Kluyveromyces lactis: one gene and its partners. The protein of the gene in region 3 purifies or fractionates together with the protein of the main gene of each other region. This does not show direct contact. Links are inferred from orthologs where the notes say so. Each region holds a gene or a part of one and is shown on either strand. Other genes may lie near its edges.

Region 1 (2,298 bases), on a different chromosome or scaffold from region 3:
ACACAATCAGAACGCGGCGTCTATATGTAACAATGAACTGAATTCGAACATTATAGTTGGGGACCATGAGATCCCTTTAGACAACTTATTGGAATGGGAAAGATCCGAGACGTCTGTGAATCCCGACCAGCAGGAAGAGGACAAACAAGAATTGGAACGAGCGATCCGAGAGATATCCCAAACAAATGAGTCGAAACTGCCAGATGTGTTTGAAGATGACAAGATCAACAATAGGATCCTAAGGATAGTAAGCGATATGGGCAACAATATCCTTCTGAATGGTGCGATCAAAGAGATAACTGCTCTCCAGTCCAAGTATGGGCCTAGTAGATTCCAAAGCCCAGAAATGTTTGAACAAGTTTATGAATTATTGGGAGAGTACCGATTCAAACCCTCAGTTCGAAAATTTTTGTTGGAACTGTTCATCAACACACGAGCCGTTGAGAACATGATACGGAACGAGAGGAGAAGAAAAAGATAATTCAGGACAAGCCAAACTTTCATTCAGAACCATCCTTATATAGTAATGGAGTCATCTTAAATAATTCATAAGATTCTTGTAAAGCTTCTGGGATCTCGATTTCATCCAAGGGCAACGAGTTCACTTCTTCTAAACTCTTCAAAAGTGGTACCAGAGCATCCCAATCTTTAAACTTCTGATAATCTGGCTGTTGGAAGATGGGGTATCCATTTAAATTGATGTGAATAGGCTCACCTAATGATTCTAATACCTGGCAGACACTTGTAATCTTGCGAAGCAAGATACTGTAATCTTTCCTAAGAGAAACGTCTTGTTTCAGCAATTCTTCTCTTCTATTAAGAAGCTTCTTGTGCTCTACTTCCAAAGTCGGCATATTGGATGTTTGGTGGTAATAGCACTGAAACTGGAGAAAATCGTCTCACCTCGTAAATAGTTGTTCGAAGTTAAGAAGAAGAGTGATAATTGCTGGCTTAAATTTCTGCTGAAAGAGAGTTCCAATCGAGAGAGACAGTCTACTACTTCTGTAGGTCACGTGAAAATACATGTGACTTGGAAATGCTGTTCAGTTTGGAGCTCTTTCAATCAATCCGGGTAAGTATCACGAAGTCATCGTCACCATGTGAAAGAAAGGAGGAGGATGGTGTGGAAAAAAAAGGATCAAAATTGCTTTGGAAAAGTGCATAAAAACGCCACAACAAGCACAACCACCGCCCCAACCACACCCTTACAGACCAAATTGAGCCACATTGCAGTCCGAACCATTCCCCGTGACCGGTTAGCCATGACTACGGCACAGCACGTGACAGTTACCATTTGCCCAACCTACGTCGGTCTTATACCACACTATTTACGTCAAAACACCGTGCAGGAAACCATGTGGAAACCATTAGGCAAACCACATGTGAAATGCTGTGCGATTCGTGGGAAGTGTTATTTTGACGACATGTGCTTTTCTATGGTATCTGAGAGAGCCCCATCTCTGCAGAAAGAATCCTTTGGTGAATTGTGGTGAAAAGTTTTGTTCTGTTACGTTCCGATGAGCTCAAGTCAAAAGTAAGTAGTAGTAGCAGCAGTAGTAATAGTGGCAGTTTTGTAGTTGAGCAGATTTTTTCGTGGGAACGACTAGAGCAGCCGAAGGTAATTAAGACTCATCGTTTAAACGATGTTTGTTGGATCAGAAACTTCAGTCCAAAGAGGATCTGAAAAAAAATGTATATAAGCAGTCGACTCTTGATGTAATTTGAGGAGTGACAATTGTTCATCATTACAATAATAAAAGGAATTATGTGTACTTTGTTTAAATACAGATTTATTTCCTTTATCATTCAGTTTGAGTTTAATATCTTAAGCCAAACAAACCAATCACTAATCATACATTAGTTTGTCAATAACAAAATGGTTCAATCATACGTCTTAGGGTTCCCAAGAATTGGGCCAAACAGAGAATTGAAGAAGGCTACCGAAGGGTACTGGAACGGTAAGGTCTCTGCTGAACAATTACAACAAGTTGCTAAGGACATCAAGGCCTCTAACTGGAAGTTGCAAAAGGATGCTGGTGTCAATGTCATTGCTTCCAACGATTTCTCTTTCTACGATCAAGTCTTGGATCTTTCTCTATTGTTCAACGTTATCCCACAACGTTACTCTAAGTATGAATTGTCTCCATTGGACACTTACTTTGCTATGGCTAGAGGTTTGCAAAGAAAGGCTACCGAAACCACTGCTGCTGTTGATGTGCCAGCTTTGGAAATGGTTAAATGGTTTGACTCCAACTACCATTATGTCAGACCAACCTTCTCTAACTCTACTGAATTCAA
Region 2 (2,037 bases), on a different chromosome or scaffold from region 3:
ATACTCCATTCTATAAATGTGAACTATTTTGACCTCTTCTTACTTGAAGTAGAGGTAGCAGCTTCTGTGAAATGCCCCTTCAATATTACTTCTCTAGTTGTTGAATTTATATGCTTGAATCTATCTGGACCAATATGAACTCCTCCGAACCATCTTCCAACGGCAACAATTACATTCCATGCATCCATCACTGTGATCAAATGTAGCATTCGTCCTCCTGCAGCTGTTTCTCCATCGTCATCGCAGTCTTGGAAACTGACACCGTTCTCTCCCTTGATTCTCCATGCAACCATTAAATGATTAGCACGAGCAATTTTATTATCGGTTCTTAACAGCTCAAGCTTATCGAATGCCTCTTCTTCAGAATTGGCTTTAGTAGCAAACGCAATAAACGTGCTCTTTCTGTCAGTGATGGGATCACTTACGTACCATCCTTCGAAGGGATCAATCTTTAAATTCTCAAATTTATCAGATATATCAACCTCATCTGAACCAGAAGCCTCTTCCCCCTCCTCAGTATAAAGCACACCATCGAGCTCCGTCAAGAAATCGAATATACAAACAAGTCCAGGGTTAAATACAGATTCCAACACTTCAGTGAAAAGATGGTTTAAATATTTGACATCATATAGTGCTGATATTTTAGCAGATAAACTCACTTCTAGTAGATGTGGCGGTTCTGTTTCAGGGTAGTGCTCGGGAAACGATAGATGTAATGTGAAATCCTCGTGTTGAGGAACTTTAATTTTTATTCTGTCATTATTAACCACCGTTAGAAGATCTGGGTAGATAGCATTTATCGCATCGATTTCGTCATTTACATCATCATTGAGTACCATTATAGATATATTGGAAGTGTTGAATTGTATTCCAAGCCAATGTCAATCCCAAACAAATGAGCAAAATATTTTAAATGCTAAAGTTGCATATACAACCGATATTTTCCAAAGCGTTAATCATCTCAGCTCATCTCAATACAAATCGTCATGTTTATGACTGTGATCATCTTACATAAATTTGAAAACTGATGCTTAAGTGCATGATACAAAATATTAAAGAATCTTCGAAAGAGACAAACTTAGTTCAAAATTTCGGAGATAGGATTAGAAAAGTAGTTTGGCTTCAGTCAGAGGATTAGTAGTCAACTACTTTTAAAGGATACTTCCTATTGTATAACTATATTCCAACAATGCCAAGCTTTGAAGAGTTCAAGATCAAAGGAAACACTGCATACAAACAGAATAACTTCACTGATGCTGTGAATTTTTACAAGAAAGCGATCACTTATGATCCGACAAATCCAGTAGGCTATTCGAACTGTGCTATGGCGTTGATAAAACTGAACAATTACGCAGATGCCTCTCAAATGTGTCAAAGAGGGTTGTTTTACGTTAATGAACAAACCGACAACGATAACAAAGTTCGCAAAAAACTTCAGTGGAGGTTAAATGTCTGTTCAGAGCAGCTCAAAGATGACCTGATTTCGGTGCAAATTCATGAAGTAGATAAACTACCGAGTAAATATCAAGATCTTTGAGATTCTGTTGCTGAGCAATGCAGGGTGTGTATTCATGGAAGAAATGCATCTATATACACTAATCATGTGACTTACAAAATGAAATTACCAGTAGAATATCTTTGAGTAGTATTAAGTGTTAGAAACTCTCGGTTTATTGAACATTGCTCTCATCATATTGTGATATGCCTTGAGCCCTATCTCCGAACGCAATGCTATACTCATTTCTGGTTGTATGAGAATTCTGGTTGTTTCTCTCAAGTTGTCGGAATCGATAACCACAAGTTGGTTCAAGATCAGAGGCAAAGAAAAAACAACTGTGATTATTGCTAAGATAATGATAAACACCAACGCATATATGTTCGCATTGAATTTGCTTTTACCCTTCTTCTTAAAAATAATAGGTCTGGCGTCAATGTCCGCCTTTCTCCAAAATAGCATTAAGGAATGCAAAGTATCCACATTTGGAATCATCAAAATTGGTACCTGTAGGAGTAAGATGATATGCACGAGAACGAAGT
Region 3 (3,301 bases):
CAAGTTATATGGATTAACTGAGGGGAAAATACAAGGTGTTAGTTCTCTTCTTTCTGGAATCAAACAACTTCTTCCCGAGAAGAAAACGATTCCCATTACCAATATCGTCGAAGCCATCATGGATCCATTGAACAGCTCAAAAAAGAACCTTCACATTACAAGTGAATATCTTTACTTTGATCCTAGAAGCACAAGGGGTTCGCACGAGAAGCTACCAAAGAGTCAGACATATAATAAATCCTTGGTGTTTGTTGTAGGTGGCGGTAATTACTTTGAATACCAAAATCTTCAAGAATGGGTTCACCAACATGAAAATAGCAACAAGAAGGTCATTTATGGTAGCACTGATATAATCTCCCCTAACGGATTCTTGAAAGAGATCTCAGGATTTAAAAAGTGAGGTTATAATATAGATTTATGATTTTATTTGTTGTCAGTATATATTTATAATAAACTTATACTTTGATGAAGTAAGATGCCATGTTAACACGAAATTAAAGTTACAAGTAATTTTCAGATTGTTCCAAGATCTTCGTAGACCTTTTAGCATCTAAAAATAATAGCTTTGCTTCTTCAACATCTGCCACCGATATTTCGGCGCGGTTTGCAATCTTAGCAATGATACCTGATGGTGATAGAAGCTGTAGAACATAACGCAAAGAAGTTTCTGTGCCTAAAGTCGCCAAAAATTCCAATGCTTCGTCCTCCACCTGCAAGTTCTCTACAGCAGCTCTCTTTGATATGATTGTTTTGATCTCTTCTCTGTTATAAGGTAGAGTTCGAACAATTAGGAGTCTATCTATCAAATCTGGTGGAACACCGTGAGGAGAAACAACGTCGTCAGTGCCGCGTACGGTGATCATTCCTCTGTTTGAGGCCAAAACAACCACAGGTGCAATATCAGATTCTAATGCTCTGTTTAAGTAAGTAAATATTTCGATGTCAAGCATATTCACTTCATCAATGAAAAGAACACCCGGGACAAGTTCTGCTACACCTTGGTCAATGTACTTTGCGACAACCTTATTAACCTCGTGTCTAAGCTTTTCTGTTATCTCTGTCTTCTTTGGTTTCATGAGCTGTCCCATCATCGAAATGACATCTTGTCCACCTTGAGGTCTGGCATTAGCGACATCTAGATCATGTAAAGTGACATCCTGAACTATTTCCTTCTTCTTATGCACTTCTCCCTTTGGAAGGGGAACGTACTCTTCCGCTTCCAAATCGAATTCAGTTGCGAAGGCATCTGATCTACCAACTCTTTTCACCGCACCTGTATTTGATTCGATATAAATAACGTCACCAACAGAAACCTTTTCTCTTTGAATGCTTTCGTATATAGTTGGATCAAGCCTCAATGTCTTAGTACCCTTGGCAGACTTCAATCCGACGATAACATGCGAGATTGTCTTACCATAACCACCCAACGGATTTTCCGCTTCCTCTGGAGTTAATTCGGTAACTTCACCTTCGTAAACTTCCTTTGTTTCTTTAATTCTTAATCCAATGGCTCTTCTGAAGTTTTCCATCAAAGCTTCTGTCTTTTTCACTTCAACGGAATACAATTCAGAGCCCACTAAGGGACAAAATGGAACTTTAGGACCAAGTTCCTGCGATATTGCCAAAGCCAAAGCTGTCTTACCAGTGGATGGCCCACCAGCCAATAAGATAGCTTTACCAGACATTTTCTTGGCTTTGATCAAATCGACGATGACACCACACGCTTCCCGAGCTTCTGCTTGCCCCACAAAACCACCTTCCACTTGCTTTGCTACACCAAACTCATCTAAACCTAACCCTTTAATGTGTGTGTGAGCTGCAGTACGGGTATACGCAGTGCTTGATTGTTCCTGCACTTCACTGATTTGTACCATGTTAACGTTATACTATCGCAAGAAGGAAAATATAGATGGTAATAATAGATATCTTCTCCTAGTTTTCTTTCGACTGCAGGACTATTAAAAAATTGAAAGGCTGATCCGTTACTACTACTCAATCGAAAGCTAGCTAAAGAAGACCGGTCAATACTTGAAAATCATCAAAGAAACCCAGATTTGAAGAGATGTCGACTGCTGTTTTTTCTTCTAAATTGCCCAGTAAACAAGAAAAGCATACATATCATCACATACGGAATTGATAGTTGTCCACGTGATTAGATATCATGCCTTTTTTTTTTATTTAGTTTCTACGCTGCATTGACAGTTGAGCAGGACCAATGCAATCGAGGTAAGAAATCCACCAATGTCGTGCTCACAGTATCTTACAGCTAAAGGTTCAAAAAATGTTTGTATAGCTTGTCAGGGCAAACAGCTTGATATCCTTATCAAATGAAACTATGGTGTCCGAATAAGAAAAGGACGGCTAAAAGCTTTGCTTCTTCAACTTTTTTTCTTTTCATCGATTATTTCGGTTTTTCATGCAGAACCAGCAAGCGGGATCAATTACATTTCCTATTTCGGAATATATCCATCTCGATTTAAAGAAAAGCTCAGTTTCACTAACTAATACCCTCTTGTGGCTATCACAAATGTAATTCCATTCCGTACTCGTACATATAGTACATATATATATATATTTATACATATATGACCTGACTGAGTGTGATTTACTGGTATCGTATCTTTGTGGTTCTGAGTACGTTATTACTGTAAGTCATTGAAAGGGTAGAATAAATCTGACAAAGTTTTAAGGTAAGGATTTCCACTGCATAAGCATTAATAATGGAGTCTCCAGTTAGGAAAGAGTACCATCAACTACTGACTCCTCCATCGTCATCGGTAAAGAAACATGATTTGAAAGCGGGTGATCTCAAAGAACTGTCTATCAAGCCAAGAAAGCTTATAAATGATTTAAGTAGAGTTAAAAAGTCACCATCTCGGAAGAAGAAACTATGCGATTCGCCTACTACTCGCAGTTTGCCGCAGACAACAAGAAAACCAAGACTGAAATATAGACCAGAACTGGATACTGTTTTTCCTTTGGATAATTATGTTGAGGGATCTGCCAAGAGCTCATCAAAAGATGCTGAATTTTTAACATACGTGTTAAGTTATTCGAAACGAATCGTGGTGGTCCAAGGAGCTGGGGTATCAGTAGCAGCAGGAATTCCAGACTTCAGATCAGCGAATGGGCTATTCACAACTTTAAAATCAAGTTCACCAAATGTCAAGTCTGGGAAGGATTTATTTGATTTTAACCATGTTTACTCGTCAAACTCCATGTCGATATCTTTCAACAGCCTAATGAGTAAATTGCATTCTTTATCATGTACTAGCAAACCTACTGCATATCACAGTTTTAT
Region 4 (2,544 bases), on a different chromosome or scaffold from region 3:
GCACGGAGACGGAACCAATAGATTCTTTGACAAGCCTTTGCAATTTTTTGTTACTGGTAACGGTTTCTCCGGTTTCTTGGCAGAACATTCGAAAATGGATGGTACTCCAACTTTGTTTTTAAACCATTACGTCGTGGATCAATTAACAAAATTGAATCCTTCAGCGTTCGTCGAGTCCTTACATTCCAACGTATCAGCTTACCCTTCTGTGAACAGTGAACATCTACCATTTATAATTACACCAACCTTGAGAAATACTATCGAGAGTGCAAAATTGCAATTTATAACAACAGTGGAACGTGAAGATTTACGCGTTTGGCACTATAATAGGTATGGTAAGAGAATTGTGAAAACATTTAAAGTGTCACCAGATGCTTACATTCAACAGGTGATTCAACTTGCTGTTTTCAAGTATTTGAAGAAACAACTACCAACGTACGAAGCTGCTTCTACCAGAGCGTTTTTCCAAGGTAGAACTGAAACTGGTAGACCGGTCACTGAATCCTCTTCCAAGTTCGTTAAAACATGGGAATCACCTACTTCTACTACTGAAGAGAAAATTGCTGCTTTCTACGATGCTGCCAAGGATCATGTTGAATATTTGAAGATGGCCTCTAACGGTGAAGCCGTTGATCGCCATTTCTTTGGGTTGAAAAACATGGTTCATGAATCTGATGAGCCAGTACCTTTGTTCCAAGACGCATTGTTCAAATACAGTTCTACTTGGTTGATTTCAACTTCACAATTATCCTCTGAAAACTTTGAATGTTACGGTTGGTCTCAAGTATACGATAATGGATTTGGCTTAGCCTATATGATCAATAACGAATTTTTGCACATTAATATCACCAACAAACCAGAAGCTTCTGGATTTAGTGTTGACGAACTACACTATTATTTAACTAAGGCGGCAGATGAAATGTATGAAACTTTGTCTCTACACAACTCTGCCAAGGCCAAACTATGATATAGCACAGGCACCAGTTTATATTGTTTTAGTACGAGTCCATTATATATGATATTCTAACCACTTTATGATCTATTATGAATTACTGAACAAGGATGCACTGGCAACAATTGGTACCATCATCAACCATACGTTAACGGCCTATCTTACCCAATGATTGACATCTTTTCTCTCCCTTCAGTTACTGTTGTTCGCATATCTACCATATTATATATCAAATGAGAATATGGCAAAGAAATTTAAAATCGACCTTATCATAGTGAGTATACCGAGGAAGACACTTTATCACTGGATAAAAGAAGGAAGAAGCGTGCGAAGAGTGTCAATATGAGGTCGGTAGAAGAAATCAATGTGAGGACGTATAATCCTAACATTTATTTCAGCAGTTTGAACCAAACTCATCAAAGTGCAAGGGTCTCGAAACAGTCTCAAACCTCAGCAAGAAACAAGAGAGTCAATTATTCATTGGCTGATTTGGAGGCAAAGATATATAATCAGCCCAAGGGAAGCGATAAAGACGACATAAATCAACTGACAGGATCTGATAAGCATGCCTTGCCTGATTTGTTACGATCTAATAAGCGGTTCATGGAACTTGACACAGAAAACTATCAAGATCTTCGTGAAGTTACAACTCTTCTCAGTAACATCACGGGGCTGAACAAAGATAAGATCGATCAAACAAGCACCGGTATATTATCTGAGCAACAATCAGGCTCAGGTTCATCCAGACAGAGGATGGCCAAGTTCGATTTGCCCAAGTCTATGAATTTATTGTATAAATCAAGCAAGCCGCCTCGGAAATCAAAGAAAAGTTCCAACAGAATATCAGCACTAAGGAAAGTACTTTCAAGCAGAAGGTCTTTACACTCCTATCTAGAAACTTTAGACCAAGTGAACCACACACTCATTTATAGTAACGTTCAAAACAAGAAGTTTTTCAGGGTCTTACCAATGATCGTCACCTGCTCTATGTGTGGTGGTTACTCCAGTATATCTAACTGCGTTGTTTGCAATGACAAGATATGCAGTCTTCGCTGTTATGAATTACACAGTGAAACAAGATGTAACAACTGAGTTTGCTGCTAGCTGAAAAAACTTAACAGCTACTCTCTTTGAACCTCAAAACACTGCTCATGATCCCGTGTTTGTTGCTTCATGTTGATGTCTTTGTAAATACTGATTATAGTATAAAATCGAGGCCATTATCTTTTTTTTTTCATTCTTTCACTTTAAACAATTTTAATACCGATGAAAGAGAAGACTTTAACTTAACTATTTGTTATCGAACAAGACACTATTTGAACTCCTTGCTGTTGGTATTTAGCAGTACGCATCATATTCCATTAATATATCAGACCTTGAAGAATCCTTCACGCTGGTTTTTGGTTTTTATTCTGAGCTATTCTAGTTGAAATCAGTGAAGGTATTGGCGTGGATTGAGAGGTGCGGAAGTTATGTCGAGCAGAGATGATGAAAGTGAGGATGTTCTTGTGATTATTGATGGGAAAACATTTCCTAATATACAAAAGAACGAATTGGACGAGATATCTTTAACGGCATTTATGCTAGGAGTG
Region 5 (3,687 bases), about 1.1 Mb from region 3:
TTTATCACCACGTTTTTCCCTCTTCAATTGTCTCTTTGATTTGGAAGGTTCAGCGGGCGTTGTCTCTGCGAGATCCGCCTTTGAAGCTGAGGCACCGGGGAAATACTGTTGCTTCAAGTAGTACAACTTGTAGAAAATAAACGCAGGGCACACTAATACCAAGAACCACCATTTCATCGTGTTGAAGAAAACTGTTCCCAGGTTACAGAACAAGGAAACATACACGATATCTTTCATGTATTCAGTGAGTCCACCAGATTCCAAATCGAACCCTTCATTAACTAGTTTATATTTTCCATGCGCAGCGTTACTGACTTCATATTTTGGTCTACCGGTACGTTCGAGAATATATAAACATAACAACATCGGCACATTGAAAAGAATAGGTTTTAGGGTTGAAATCAGCCCATTACTGAACCATTTCCTCAATAACGTTAAAGATAGTATAGCGACGACTAGTACGTGCAACTGCTTTAAGATGGCTGCGTTCTTTGCAGCAATCTTCTTGGACGATTTTCCAGCCATTCTACAATGGGTGGGTGAGATTCTTCAGAGATAGAGATAGATGTACATAAATGTACTGTCGAATATTAACCTGATCTATTAATACCTTCCCGTTGCTTCAATGATAGTTGATGATGATCCACGTAACATATATTCACGTATAGATTTCAACTGCCGAGTCATTATAATCCGGGTAACGTACATATATGTCACGTGATTTTGAATATACACATTAATATACGGAGGATTAAGACGATATGCGGTCATAATGAATTGTAAAATAAACCAGATGTACTAACATCCAGAGATCGATAACTGCCTCATGAATACAATATACTACGATATAACTATTCTACCGACAGCCTACCAACGTTATATCAAACTTCCAGCCTTCACAAAGCCTTCAATTGCAAGTCCGCCCCTCCAGCTGTACAGTGAATCCCACGTAACCACTAGAAAACCATTACCGCAACTGCTCCGCCTCGTGGACAATGACAATCGTCTCCTATTTTTCATCAGAATTCTTTTTTTTTTTTTAATTTGTTTTTTCGAAATTTTCTCTTCTGTTTCTCTGGACAGCTAGTGCGATTTATTGTATGAGAGAGTTTGAAATTTGATTTAATTTACAAGAAAAATAAGAAATATCTTGATTTGTTTCCTCCTTCTTTACTGTCTTTTACGATCCAAAGAGAAGAAAGGTTGTTTCAGAATAACGGTTTTTTTGTTGATTGCAAAAGGAATTGTACAACATCTTCACGCGCTATAGTATAACAATATGGATTCTGGTATGTGTGGAAACGTATATTTGATTACGGTGGGTTAATTGGGTGGTTAAAAAGTTTGGATATGTTTTATTACTTTGTTAGGTTTCCGGTTAAATGTTGGGAGGGAAAAGATAGGATAATGGCAGCGCTTTGCGCTGCCATTGTCCATTCTCTAACTCCCTAAATCAGATTTAGAATTAGATGTACAACGCTAATTGAATGGGTTTTTTTTATATATAGGGGTTTGGATTAGAAGCTTTGTTCGAGAATTGGATCTTTCATTTCCTGGTTCTACCTTCTTACTATAACGTGTTTTTCTTGGGTTTTGGGTGACTAACTTTGGATTTTGGGTTTTTTTTACCTGATTTAGGAGGCGAATTGGAAAGAAATTTGGAAAATATAGGCAAAAAAAGATAATTTGATGTCACGTGATGATGTGATTTTATATTACAATGTTATTCCTTCCAGTCCAAGAAGGAATCAAAGTACACCTTTAAGTGGTGCAGGCATTGCCCCTCGTGGTTCGGTTGTCCCTATTTTTTTTTTGATTTATTTTTCTGGTTGCTAAGGTTAGCCCCTATTTTGTCCGCGACAGGACTTTTAGCGTTGAACAATCACATAACCTCATGATCACCCAAAATGCACCTGTTACTTTTGTTTTCTTATCTTATGTTACTAACAATTATTTTTCTATTTGGGATGGCTGAATTCACTTTTTTGGAACACCTAACCTACCCAAACGTACGGTTTAGTTCCTTAATCTGCATTCTGCTACTCGTGATGGTTTTTTATTCTAAACAGAGGTCGCTGCTTTAGTTATTGACAACGGTTCTGGTATGTGTAAAGCCGGTTTCGCCGGTGACGACGCTCCAAGAGCCGTCTTCCCATCCATCGTCGGTAGACCAAGACACCAAGGTATCATGGTCGGTATGGGTCAAAAAGACTCTTACGTTGGTGACGAAGCTCAATCCAAGAGAGGTATCTTGACTCTACGTTACCCAATTGAACACGGTATCGTTACCAACTGGGATGATATGGAAAAGATCTGGCATCACACCTTCTACAACGAATTGAGAGTTGCTCCAGAAGAACACCCAGTTTTGTTAACCGAAGCTCCAATGAACCCAAAGAACAACAGAGAAAAGATGACTCAAATCTTGTTCGAAACTTTCAACGTTCCAGCCTTCTACGTCTCTATCCAAGCTGTTTTGTCCTTGTACTCTTCTGGTAGAACCACTGGTATTGTGTTGGATTCTGGTGACGGTGTTACCCACGTTGTTCCAATCTACGCCGGTTTCTCCTTGCCTCACGCTATCTTGAGAATCGACTTGGCTGGTAGAGATATCACCGACTACTTGATGAAGATCTTGGCTGAACGTGGTTACTCTTTCTCTACTACCGCTGAAAGAGAAATCGTCCGTGACATCAAGGAAAAGCTATGTTACGTCGCTTTGGACTTCGAACAAGAAATGCAAACTGCTTCTCAATCATCCGCTGTTGAAAAGTCTTACGAATTACCAGATGGCCAAGTTATCACTATCGGTAACGAAAGATTCAGAGCTCCAGAAGCTTTGTTCCATCCATCTGTTCTAAGTTTGGAAGCTGCTGGTATCGACCAAACTACTTACAACTCCATCATGAAGTGTGATGTTGATGTCAGAAAGGAATTGTACGGTAACATCGTCATGTCCGGTGGTACCACCATGTTCCCAGGTATTGCTGAAAGAATGCAAAAGGAAATTACCGCCTTGGCTCCTTCTTCTATGAAGGTCAAGATCATCGCTCCTCCAGAAAGAAAGTACTCTGTCTGGATCGGTGGTTCTATTTTGGCCTCTTTGACCACTTTCCAACAAATGTGGATCTCAAAGCAAGAATACGACGAATCTGGTCCATCCATCGTTCACTTGAAGTGTTTCTAATCTCCTTCACTTTTTTTTACTTGACACTCTTATAAAAAGAATACAATTAAAATAAACGATGAATCGATTCATATAGATGAACCCAAAAATTGAAGCTTATGAAACAAAAAACTAACAATTATTAAAACTTCATATAGGGACGATTTTACTCCAAATCTTCTTTGTTTTTATAATTTTGTTTTGTGTGTTGTTTTTATTTATCTTCGATCGCACAGTCATTATTCAAGTTCCAATCTTCTATCTTATGTTGTTGGAATATTCTACTTCATATAAATGAAGTGGGTAGTTTAGTATGAAAGTTAATAAGTTAATAAGCCGAGATTATATACGAACGAAATTCAAATTCAACATTAAAATTAAACAACTCCAATTGAAAGTTATATACGGCAATTATTGAATATTCGTGCGAGGCTAATTGCTTAAGTTGATCATCTGATAATTTGAAAAGGATTTAAAATCATCATATGTTCCAGAACAAAGATTTTTAGTGTTGAAAGTTA
Region 6 (3,000 bases), on a different chromosome or scaffold from region 3:
TTTACCTTAATATATCAAAAAATACGTAATAAGCTTTCCTTTCACAGCTCTTTCTAAACAAGCTTTATCTTTTTTCTTTTTCTTGGCTTTCTTCCTTATTTCTTTCCGAAGCCAAATAGAGCAATCATGGGAATTCAGAGGATTACGGAAGTTCGGAACAATTGTGCAAAGCGCGTTGCATGTGAGAGAGTACTAAAGAACACTCGAGAAGCGACCTGTAATGAGCGCATTGCAGATACTCTACCCTCCTGAGCTTTGCTCCATCAAGTTGTCTTGTTTTTGTGTATATGAGTATGTGTGGTTTCTCCGTATGTGAAATATAGGGGTACTTCATAGAGGCAGGAGGGGATCATAGTTTTTTTACCCGGATTTGAATTTCCGCTACTAAAAAATAATACCGTAGCAGTAGCAGTTTCATTTGATATCACGTGAGCGTTTGTGAAATTGAACCTATGCATATATACTCTATATACACGAAAGCCGTGGTTGCGATCACATGGTTACAACCACTGTTGGTAGCCAAATCTGTTCTTGGTGCACCAATCGAGCCCGTGTTCTAGATATTCTTCTCTTGTGACCCTTGCTGAGCGGAACTGATCCGAGTTGGCAAAGTCTTTCATGCTTTCCCATCCGTGTAGAGATTTGTCCTTTTCCTGGGGTGAATGTACTTTGCAGCTCCAGTCTATCGGACATTGTCTTTGTAATTCTGTTTGTAATCGCTCGTGGAAGTTTGGAATGTTAAAATTGCCTCCGGTGCATACTATATTGGCAACAAGTAATGGTCTGACGACTTCGGGACACATGTTGATGCATTCTAGAATTGTTTCGACGATTCCTGGTTTTAAAATCTGTGCAATTTCAGGATGAAAGAACGTTTCTGGTACCGAGAAGACTTCATCTGTGAGTAATAAGGTCTGTGCATCATCCGTGAGCTTTTCTTTACCTGGTTTCTTAACGTACCCCAAGAAACTCGTTTGGAAGTCCGGTAGTACATACTCGACCTTTGTGTTCATTTTGTTGTGGAAACTTGAAAAATATGATTCAGGGGGAACAAAAGTACATTGCTCCTTGATGTTATTTACAAGTATTGTCTCTTCCATCACATTGTAATGCCTAAACGAAATGGTTTCCTGTAATAGGCCTGTTAAAAATCTGCCACCGATGTCGAGTTTCTTGATAGCTTTGTAATACGGTACTCCCTTTATTATAGGAACAGCCCATGTGCAGTTAAACCCCGAGTCTATAACTAATTGGAAGTCCTTGTATGAACTAGTTTTCTTGTCTTCAGCAGCGGTCATTGCGTCATCTTGATATTGACCCTGGTAAAAAGGAATATATTGTGCTACAGGTCCTTTGAACATAGATTTGAAATCATATTCTTCGAATATTACCTGGTCCATGTTTTTCGAAAGCTCTGGTATCGTCATGAGCGTCTCACTTACTACTAAATGATGATCTTTAGTGTCATTGTCGTGTGTCAAGTTCCAATGGAAGTCGTCCTCGTTGTAAAAACAGTAATCCCATACTTCACTTTCTAATTCCCATGATACAAGTTGACCCAATTCGTGAGGCCTTCTTATTAAAGCCTGCGATATATCCCGCATTTTCTTCGTTTGATTTGAAAGGTGGAAGCGAGAGTATTTGTCCTTGGTTAAGCAGTTTAACGCTCGCAGTGGCTGATCCCATCCACTCTCACCAAATTTGATTTCATACGATCCGTTATCGATCACCAATACAGGCTCACTCATTTTAATAGATGTATGATTATATTATTCCCATTAAATTATCCCATATAGCCAATTTGGCAAATCATCAGGACATTCAAAGAAGCGCGCATGCAGATTGCCTGTGTTTTTCTGTAGTAGTGCTACAATTTTTCTTCATTTCCTTTTTGTTATTTTTCAAATTTCATGTTTTGAAAAGATTGTTTGTTTACCAAACAATCATGATGTAAACCAAAGAACTTTTAATATTCTATCATGATGGCGATGGCGATGGCAAACCACCACAGCCAACGAGCACCTCGACCTGTAAAGCTATTATTCTGGTTGCCTCCTGTAGCTGCACTATAGCTTGATTGATATGACTGCAGACAGTTCTGTGCCGCATCTGGGAGACTCACCAGAAATAAAGAGGCAAAGAGTATCACAATCGCCAACAAGGACGCCAAGGAAGTTGGTTTTGGGCTCACCTGAAAAAAAATATGCCGTCTCTAATTCACAGGCTACTACTGCCGCTTCTAATACAATGGATCCACCGAGTCTGCAACCTCCTACGGCACATGCTGTACGAGGGCGCGAATACAGTCAGTCTCCGCCTAGGTCTCCTACGCGATCACCTACTAGATCTCCGACAAGAAAGCTTGAATTGATCAGACTTTCACCCAAAAAAAGTACACGACTTGAATTACAAAAGATGCACGAGGCCAATACTCAGACCTCACAGCGATTATGCATTGATAAATTGGTTTTGAATAATTTCAAGTCGTATGCTGGTATTCAAGAGATTGGACCATTCCACACATCATTTTCTGCAGTTGTTGGTCCTAATGGATCAGGAAAATCTAATGTTATCGATTCAATGCTTTTTGTCTTCGGTTTTAGAGCCAATAAAATGAGGCAAGGGAAACTCTCCGAGTTAATTCACAAATCTGAGCAGTTCCCGAGTCTGGCATCCTGTTCTGTCCAAATTCATTTTCATTACGTTCATGATACAGATAATGGTGAAACCAAGATTCTTCCATCGGCTGGTACAATGGTGGTTGAAAGAAGAGCATTCAAAAACAACTCTTCAAAGTACTATGTTAACGGGAAAGAGAGTAATTATACTGAAGTAACAAGACTTTTAAAAGAGGAAGGAATTGATTTGGACCATAAAAGATTCTTGATTCTTCAAGGTGAAGTGGAATCGATTGCCCAGATGAAGGCCAAGGCTGAAAAGGACAACGATGATGGACTTTTGGAATATTTGGAAGATATAATTGGCACAGCTAAATTCAAA
Region 7 (3,936 bases), about 910 kb from region 3:
TGTTACAGTCACATGTGAAAAGGATATGATCCTGCTACGTAAAGGTAGTTTCACCGCCTCTTTCAGAATAGCAGTAGAAAACGAGAGTATTCGTTCCATGGCTATTGACTTGAATGCGTTTGAAGTTGAGTTACAGCCTATAATTCAATATGCCGAAGATACTCAGAACGTGAATGTTGCTATGATGGCTGTCGTACAATTTCTTAGGATAAAGGAACTTCACGAGCAAATGATATCAAAGATCGTCGAGGCAAGTAAATTCATTAGGGCATCTAACAATACCATAACTCTTAATGATTTAGAGGTTTCTTTTCACTGTTACTGGAATTTACCATCGCCATACCCAGAAACGTTGATACTGACCAACAAAGTACAGAAAATTTTGGATTTCCTTATATACCAGTATGGAATTCAATTAGGAGTCATTAAATATGGATCTACAATTATTTAATTACAATGTCATTATTAGTGTTACTATCGTTCGCAGAAGTTGGAACTATTCAGCTGTCATGGAAGGCAGTTCCGTTCCTTTCGTTTTCCACTTTTTCAGTTGGATCTGCCGCCAGAGTTTCTGCAGTGGATTCAGCCATTACTTTTGGTTCAGTCGTTGCTTCTTGGACAGCAGAGCTGTTTTCTTCTTCAGGGTTGGGCACTCCGCGTTTCTCTCTTAGCCTTTTGAGCATTGTTCTTTTTGAATGGCGTAGCACTCCTAACATGTCTGTCTCATATCCTAAAATGCCGTCACTGAACTTCTTTCTCTTTTTCCCCCGGATACCAATAATAGTTGCAAGAGGAACATCTTCGAATTCGTCAAATAACTTAACTAAGCCTAACTCATGGTTTTTCTTGTTGGTGATTTTATGGGCTTCAATCAATTTAGTTCTCAATTGAGTCTGAGTCAAATCATCTCTAATTTTAAAATTTTTATCAAGATCAATTTTTTGCTGTACTCGCTCATCTTTATCTTGTTGAATCTTAGCCCTTATTGCAGCTTTACTTTCAGAGTTATTGTTGTTTTCTTCCGAATTATTTTTAGAACCTGCTGCATTCGACTGTCTCTTCTTTCGCTGTGTATCTTGTTGGATTATCACCGGTTGTGACTTCCCTCCTTTTTCCTTTGATGTAGCTCGTGACTGCTTGGGCTTTGGTGGTGGAGGAGCCGGTACCGGTTCTTCTAGTGCTGCTTCTGGATCCAACGGTTCATCATCGGGGCCTGTAGGAGGAGTTTCCATCGTCTGTTGGACAATCGTCCTCTCTGCTCCTGTTTGATTCAAAAAGCTTATTCTCTTTTCCAATTGCTCTTCTCCGTATGTTACCTCTACTGGAGTGTCAATATCATGTTCTAAATGAGACGCAGTCAATAAGAACGTTCCGTTTGGTTCGACTTGGAAGAGAGGTTTCGAAGACTGTAACGATTCCGGTGTGAGGTTCGTCTCCATATGGATATACATCAACCACAAGAAAAGATTGACTCGTAGCTGTGGAGAATAATTATTATCATCAAATAATTGGTAAAGAGAGGTCTTGGGCTTACAATTAGGAATTATAATATTCCAATCTAGTATGGCATGTTGTTCGCAAAAAGCAAATATCAAAGATACTGGATTTACCCATTCGCTAGGATTACGGGGGTAATCTGCTGCGTACCATTTATGAAACTCTATTGGAGTGTCGGACCCAAGTGGGATAGTTTTGAGGATCGACTTAATCCTTGGAGTATCTTGTAATGATTTAGGATCTGAACTATAGTGCTGTAGACATGGAATTGAATGGAAGGTACGCAGCTGGGAAGTCATTTCGAGAAAGAAATTTACAGTCGTATTCAATCTTCCCATATTCACCAACAATGATAATATGCACGTAGAAAACGCTACATGATGATCAAAAAGTAGTTTATCCCGTAATACTTTGGAACATTTACTTGAAGAAGCGATAGTTAAAATGTATATCTGAGAAAAAGTTAATTTTTCGGTTTTGATGAAAGTTCTTGCATTATAGTCCACATCCGTGACGTTCACCACTTTACCTTCCTCTGGTGTGTATTCCAAGGGAAAGAAATCTTGGAACGGATTACTAAATATTTGTCTTGTGTCAGATAGAAGGTTCGAAAGGAACTCATATTGAATGTCCTTACGAGTGAAAGGTTCACCGTCAGATTTCTTTAAATGGCGAGTGTATCGGCTTGGTTCTTTTGCCTTAGGTTTTGGTCTCAGGGTAGTTGTCATAAAGTTCATAGCATGAGAATGTTTGGATTTCCTCTCATTCCCTGGGTATTGAACCAGCTCCATTGGTGGCGGAGGAGGTATTACGGAATGCTGTGAATCAGATGGCAATGCTGAATTAGGAGAATCTGCGGACACCGTTGATTCCTTCTCATAATATTTATTTTCGTCATTAGAAGAATCTGGCATGGAAATTGCAGCTGATTGAGAAGGTTCTGACTGAGTAGAATCCGAGTCTCTGTCTTCCTCTTCGTTACCATCTGGTCGCGGCTGTGAAAGCACAGGCGGCTCTGGAGTAACTTGTATCTGATAAGTATCGTGAATGGGATCATACACCCGCTTTGCCATTGTTGAAATCTTTTAGAGCTGATCAATAATGCAAATGTAAGAAAAGGTAATCTTAAATTGAATTGGAAAATTTCTAGGTGTTATAAGTTTGTAATTTGGTACTAGCAGTTCATAAAAGATAGTAACAATTGCTTTCCGCTCTGTTATTCAATAAAAAGTTGTCTGTCTCCTAATTAGAAAAACAGAGAACGCAGATACCCAATTAGATCTCCAATTAGGGGTACTATATATGGAACCAATAATGAATTTCTTCAAATTTATACGTTCTCTAATGTTTTAAGTCTGGCTTTTCCACCTTCTTTATATCAGAAAACTTCTGTTTTACTGTTTAAGTTTACTGGACGTTATTACCTTTTGGTTGATTCTCTTTGATAGTCAACGTAAACTACAAGTTACCCGGATTTATAATTGGTTGCCTATATCCAGTGTGAATAAAGGTTGATATCATGTATGAATACTAATACTATCTTTTGACTATGTAGCAGCCTCTAAACATACACTATTCTGGTGTATAAGCAGCCAATTGCTCCCAGAAAACCAACGCCGGTCTAAAATAGTTGCTAATGGAGGTACATTTTTCAATATAACTGAACTTCCCAATCTTCGAAAGGTGGATCAACCTCGAAGGTCGATTCACAGTAAGACCTAATGTAGTCTGTTGCTCGTTTCTCGGCATGTTTGACGTTGATAACTTTCCCTTGTTCATCTATTTCCAACACATTCATGAATATGGCGTAAGCTTGCTCAATTGCACTGGGTTCCTCACCATATAACGAAATGTAATCTACACCCTTCAACATATAATGAGTTCCACTTACCATAAAATACGTAAACGTCCTGACGGCACCACTCACTTCGTTACTGAGATGCATACTTTTTTTACTTAGTAACAACCTCCGTTGTACAATCCCTTCATTCGAATGAAGTGTAATCGTTATTGATACTTTCAAATAAAGTTAACTTAAAATGCTGCGTGGTCTTTATTTACAGAATTATTTACTTTAATGTGAAATGTCCAGTAGGTAGTCTTTAATTTCGATGCAAGCGCACATCATAATTTTGAAGTGGAGAAGACGTTGTTGTACAATTTTTGAATGTGGTAGGCAACACCCATCGAGGTCTCGAATCCCATCCCACCAAGACCATAAGCATGAATAACTGGCATTTGTTCTCCATCAGGACTCTTATTGAACTCGAGTTCTACACGCGAACCTCCTACTCTTAGCGGTCTGAAACCAACGTTGACGTTCTTGATTTCGAAGTTTTCAAGCAATTCAGGGAAAAGTTTCTTACCTCTTCCAATGAGCTTCTCAGTATCTGTATCACGAGGCATTACACTATAATCACCAGGTTGTTTGGTACCACC

The links.
Region 1: the proteins of RVB1 (region 3) and IES5 purify together in Saccharomyces cerevisiae (affinity purification with mass spectrometry; 5 studies listed by BioGRID). This does not show direct contact. The link is inferred for Kluyveromyces lactis from reciprocal best matches to the Saccharomyces cerevisiae genes RVB1 and IES5.
Region 2: the proteins of RVB1 (region 3) and TAH1 purify together in Saccharomyces cerevisiae (affinity purification with mass spectrometry; 7 studies listed by BioGRID, with this or other methods). This does not show direct contact. The link is inferred for Kluyveromyces lactis from reciprocal best matches to the Saccharomyces cerevisiae genes RVB1 and TAH1.
Region 4: the proteins of RVB1 (region 3) and VPS71 purify together in Saccharomyces cerevisiae (affinity purification with mass spectrometry; 6 studies listed by BioGRID, with this or other methods). This does not show direct contact. The link is inferred for Kluyveromyces lactis from reciprocal best matches to the Saccharomyces cerevisiae genes RVB1 and VPS71.
Region 5: the proteins of RVB1 (region 3) and ACT1 purify together in Saccharomyces cerevisiae (affinity purification with mass spectrometry; 7 studies listed by BioGRID, with this or other methods). This does not show direct contact. The link is inferred for Kluyveromyces lactis from reciprocal best matches to the Saccharomyces cerevisiae genes RVB1 and ACT1.
Region 6: the proteins of RVB1 (region 3) and ARP6 purify together in Saccharomyces cerevisiae (affinity purification with mass spectrometry; 4 studies listed by BioGRID, with this or other methods). This does not show direct contact. The link is inferred for Kluyveromyces lactis from reciprocal best matches to the Saccharomyces cerevisiae genes RVB1 and ARP6.
Region 7: the proteins of RVB1 (region 3) and IES1 purify together in Saccharomyces cerevisiae (affinity purification with mass spectrometry; 5 studies listed by BioGRID). This does not show direct contact. The link is inferred for Kluyveromyces lactis from reciprocal best matches to the Saccharomyces cerevisiae genes RVB1 and IES1.

Annotation. Positions count from the first base shown.
Region 1 is NC_006041.1:1,787,891-1,790,188, reverse strand, and holds IES5 (Ies5p), read right to left. Parts: upstream 855-2,298; coding exon 501-854; downstream 1-500. Other genes in the region: TORC2 complex subunit TSC11, read left to right, coding at 1-481; KLLA0_E20087g (uncharacterized protein), read left to right, coding at 1,119-1,493; MET6 (5-methyltetrahydropteroyltriglutamate-homocysteine S-methyltransferase), read left to right, coding at 1,877-2,298.
Region 2 is NC_006039.1:781,226-783,262, reverse strand, and holds TAH1 (Tah1p), read left to right. Parts: upstream 1-1,189; coding exon 1,190-1,537; downstream 1,538-2,037. Other genes in the region: YIH1 (Yih1p), read right to left, coding at 24-839; KLLA0_C08888g (1,3-beta-glucan synthase), read right to left, coding at 1,649-2,037.
Region 3 is NC_006040.1:1,560,264-1,563,564, forward strand, and holds RVB1 (RuvB family ATP-dependent DNA helicase pontin), read right to left. Parts: upstream 1,875-3,301; coding exon 501-1,874; downstream 1-500. Other genes in the region: SLY1 (syntaxin-binding protein), read left to right, coding at 1-400; NAD-dependent histone deacetylase HST4, read left to right, coding at 2,721-3,301.
Region 4 is NC_006037.1:191,199-193,742, forward strand, and holds VPS71 (Vps71p), read left to right. Parts: upstream 1-1,294; coding exon 1,295-2,044; downstream 2,045-2,544. Other genes in the region: carnitine O-acetyltransferase CAT2, read left to right, coding at 1-967; STE14 (protein-S-isoprenylcysteine carboxyl O-methyltransferase), read left to right, coding at 2,425-2,544. UniProt on the Saccharomyces cerevisiae protein: Participates in the catalytic exchange of histone H2A for the H2A variant HZT1, an euchromatin-specific factor, leading to chromatin remodeling and changes in transcription of targeted genes. Indirectly involved in vacuolar protein sorting.
Region 5 is NC_006040.1:460,447-464,133, forward strand, and holds ACT1 (actin), read left to right. Parts: upstream 1-1,279; coding exon 1,280-1,289; intron 1,290-2,069; coding exon 2,070-3,187; downstream 3,188-3,687. Other genes in the region: SND2 (Snd2p), read right to left, coding at 1-525. UniProt on the Saccharomyces cerevisiae protein: Actins are highly conserved proteins that are involved in various types of cell motility and are ubiquitously expressed in all eukaryotic cells.
Region 6 is NC_006042.1:1,756,029-1,759,028, forward strand, and holds ARP6 (Arp6p), read right to left. Parts: upstream 1,749-3,000; coding exon 501-1,748; downstream 1-500. Other genes in the region: condensin subunit SMC4, read left to right, coding at 2,083-3,000. UniProt on the Saccharomyces cerevisiae protein: Component of the SWR1 complex which mediates the ATP-dependent exchange of histone H2A for the H2A variant HZT1 leading to transcriptional regulation of selected genes by chromatin remodeling. Involved in chromosome stability.
Region 7 is NC_006040.1:651,424-655,359, reverse strand, and holds IES1 (Ies1p), read right to left. Parts: upstream 2,571-3,936; coding exon 501-2,570; downstream 1-500. Other genes in the region: KLLA0_D07612g (uncharacterized protein), read left to right, coding at 1-451; KLLA0_D07579g (uncharacterized protein), read right to left, coding at 3,149-3,442; KLLA0_D07568g (FAD-dependent oxidoreductase), read right to left, coding at 3,622-3,936. UniProt on the Saccharomyces cerevisiae protein: Probably involved in transcription regulation via its interaction with the INO80 complex, a chromatin-remodeling complex.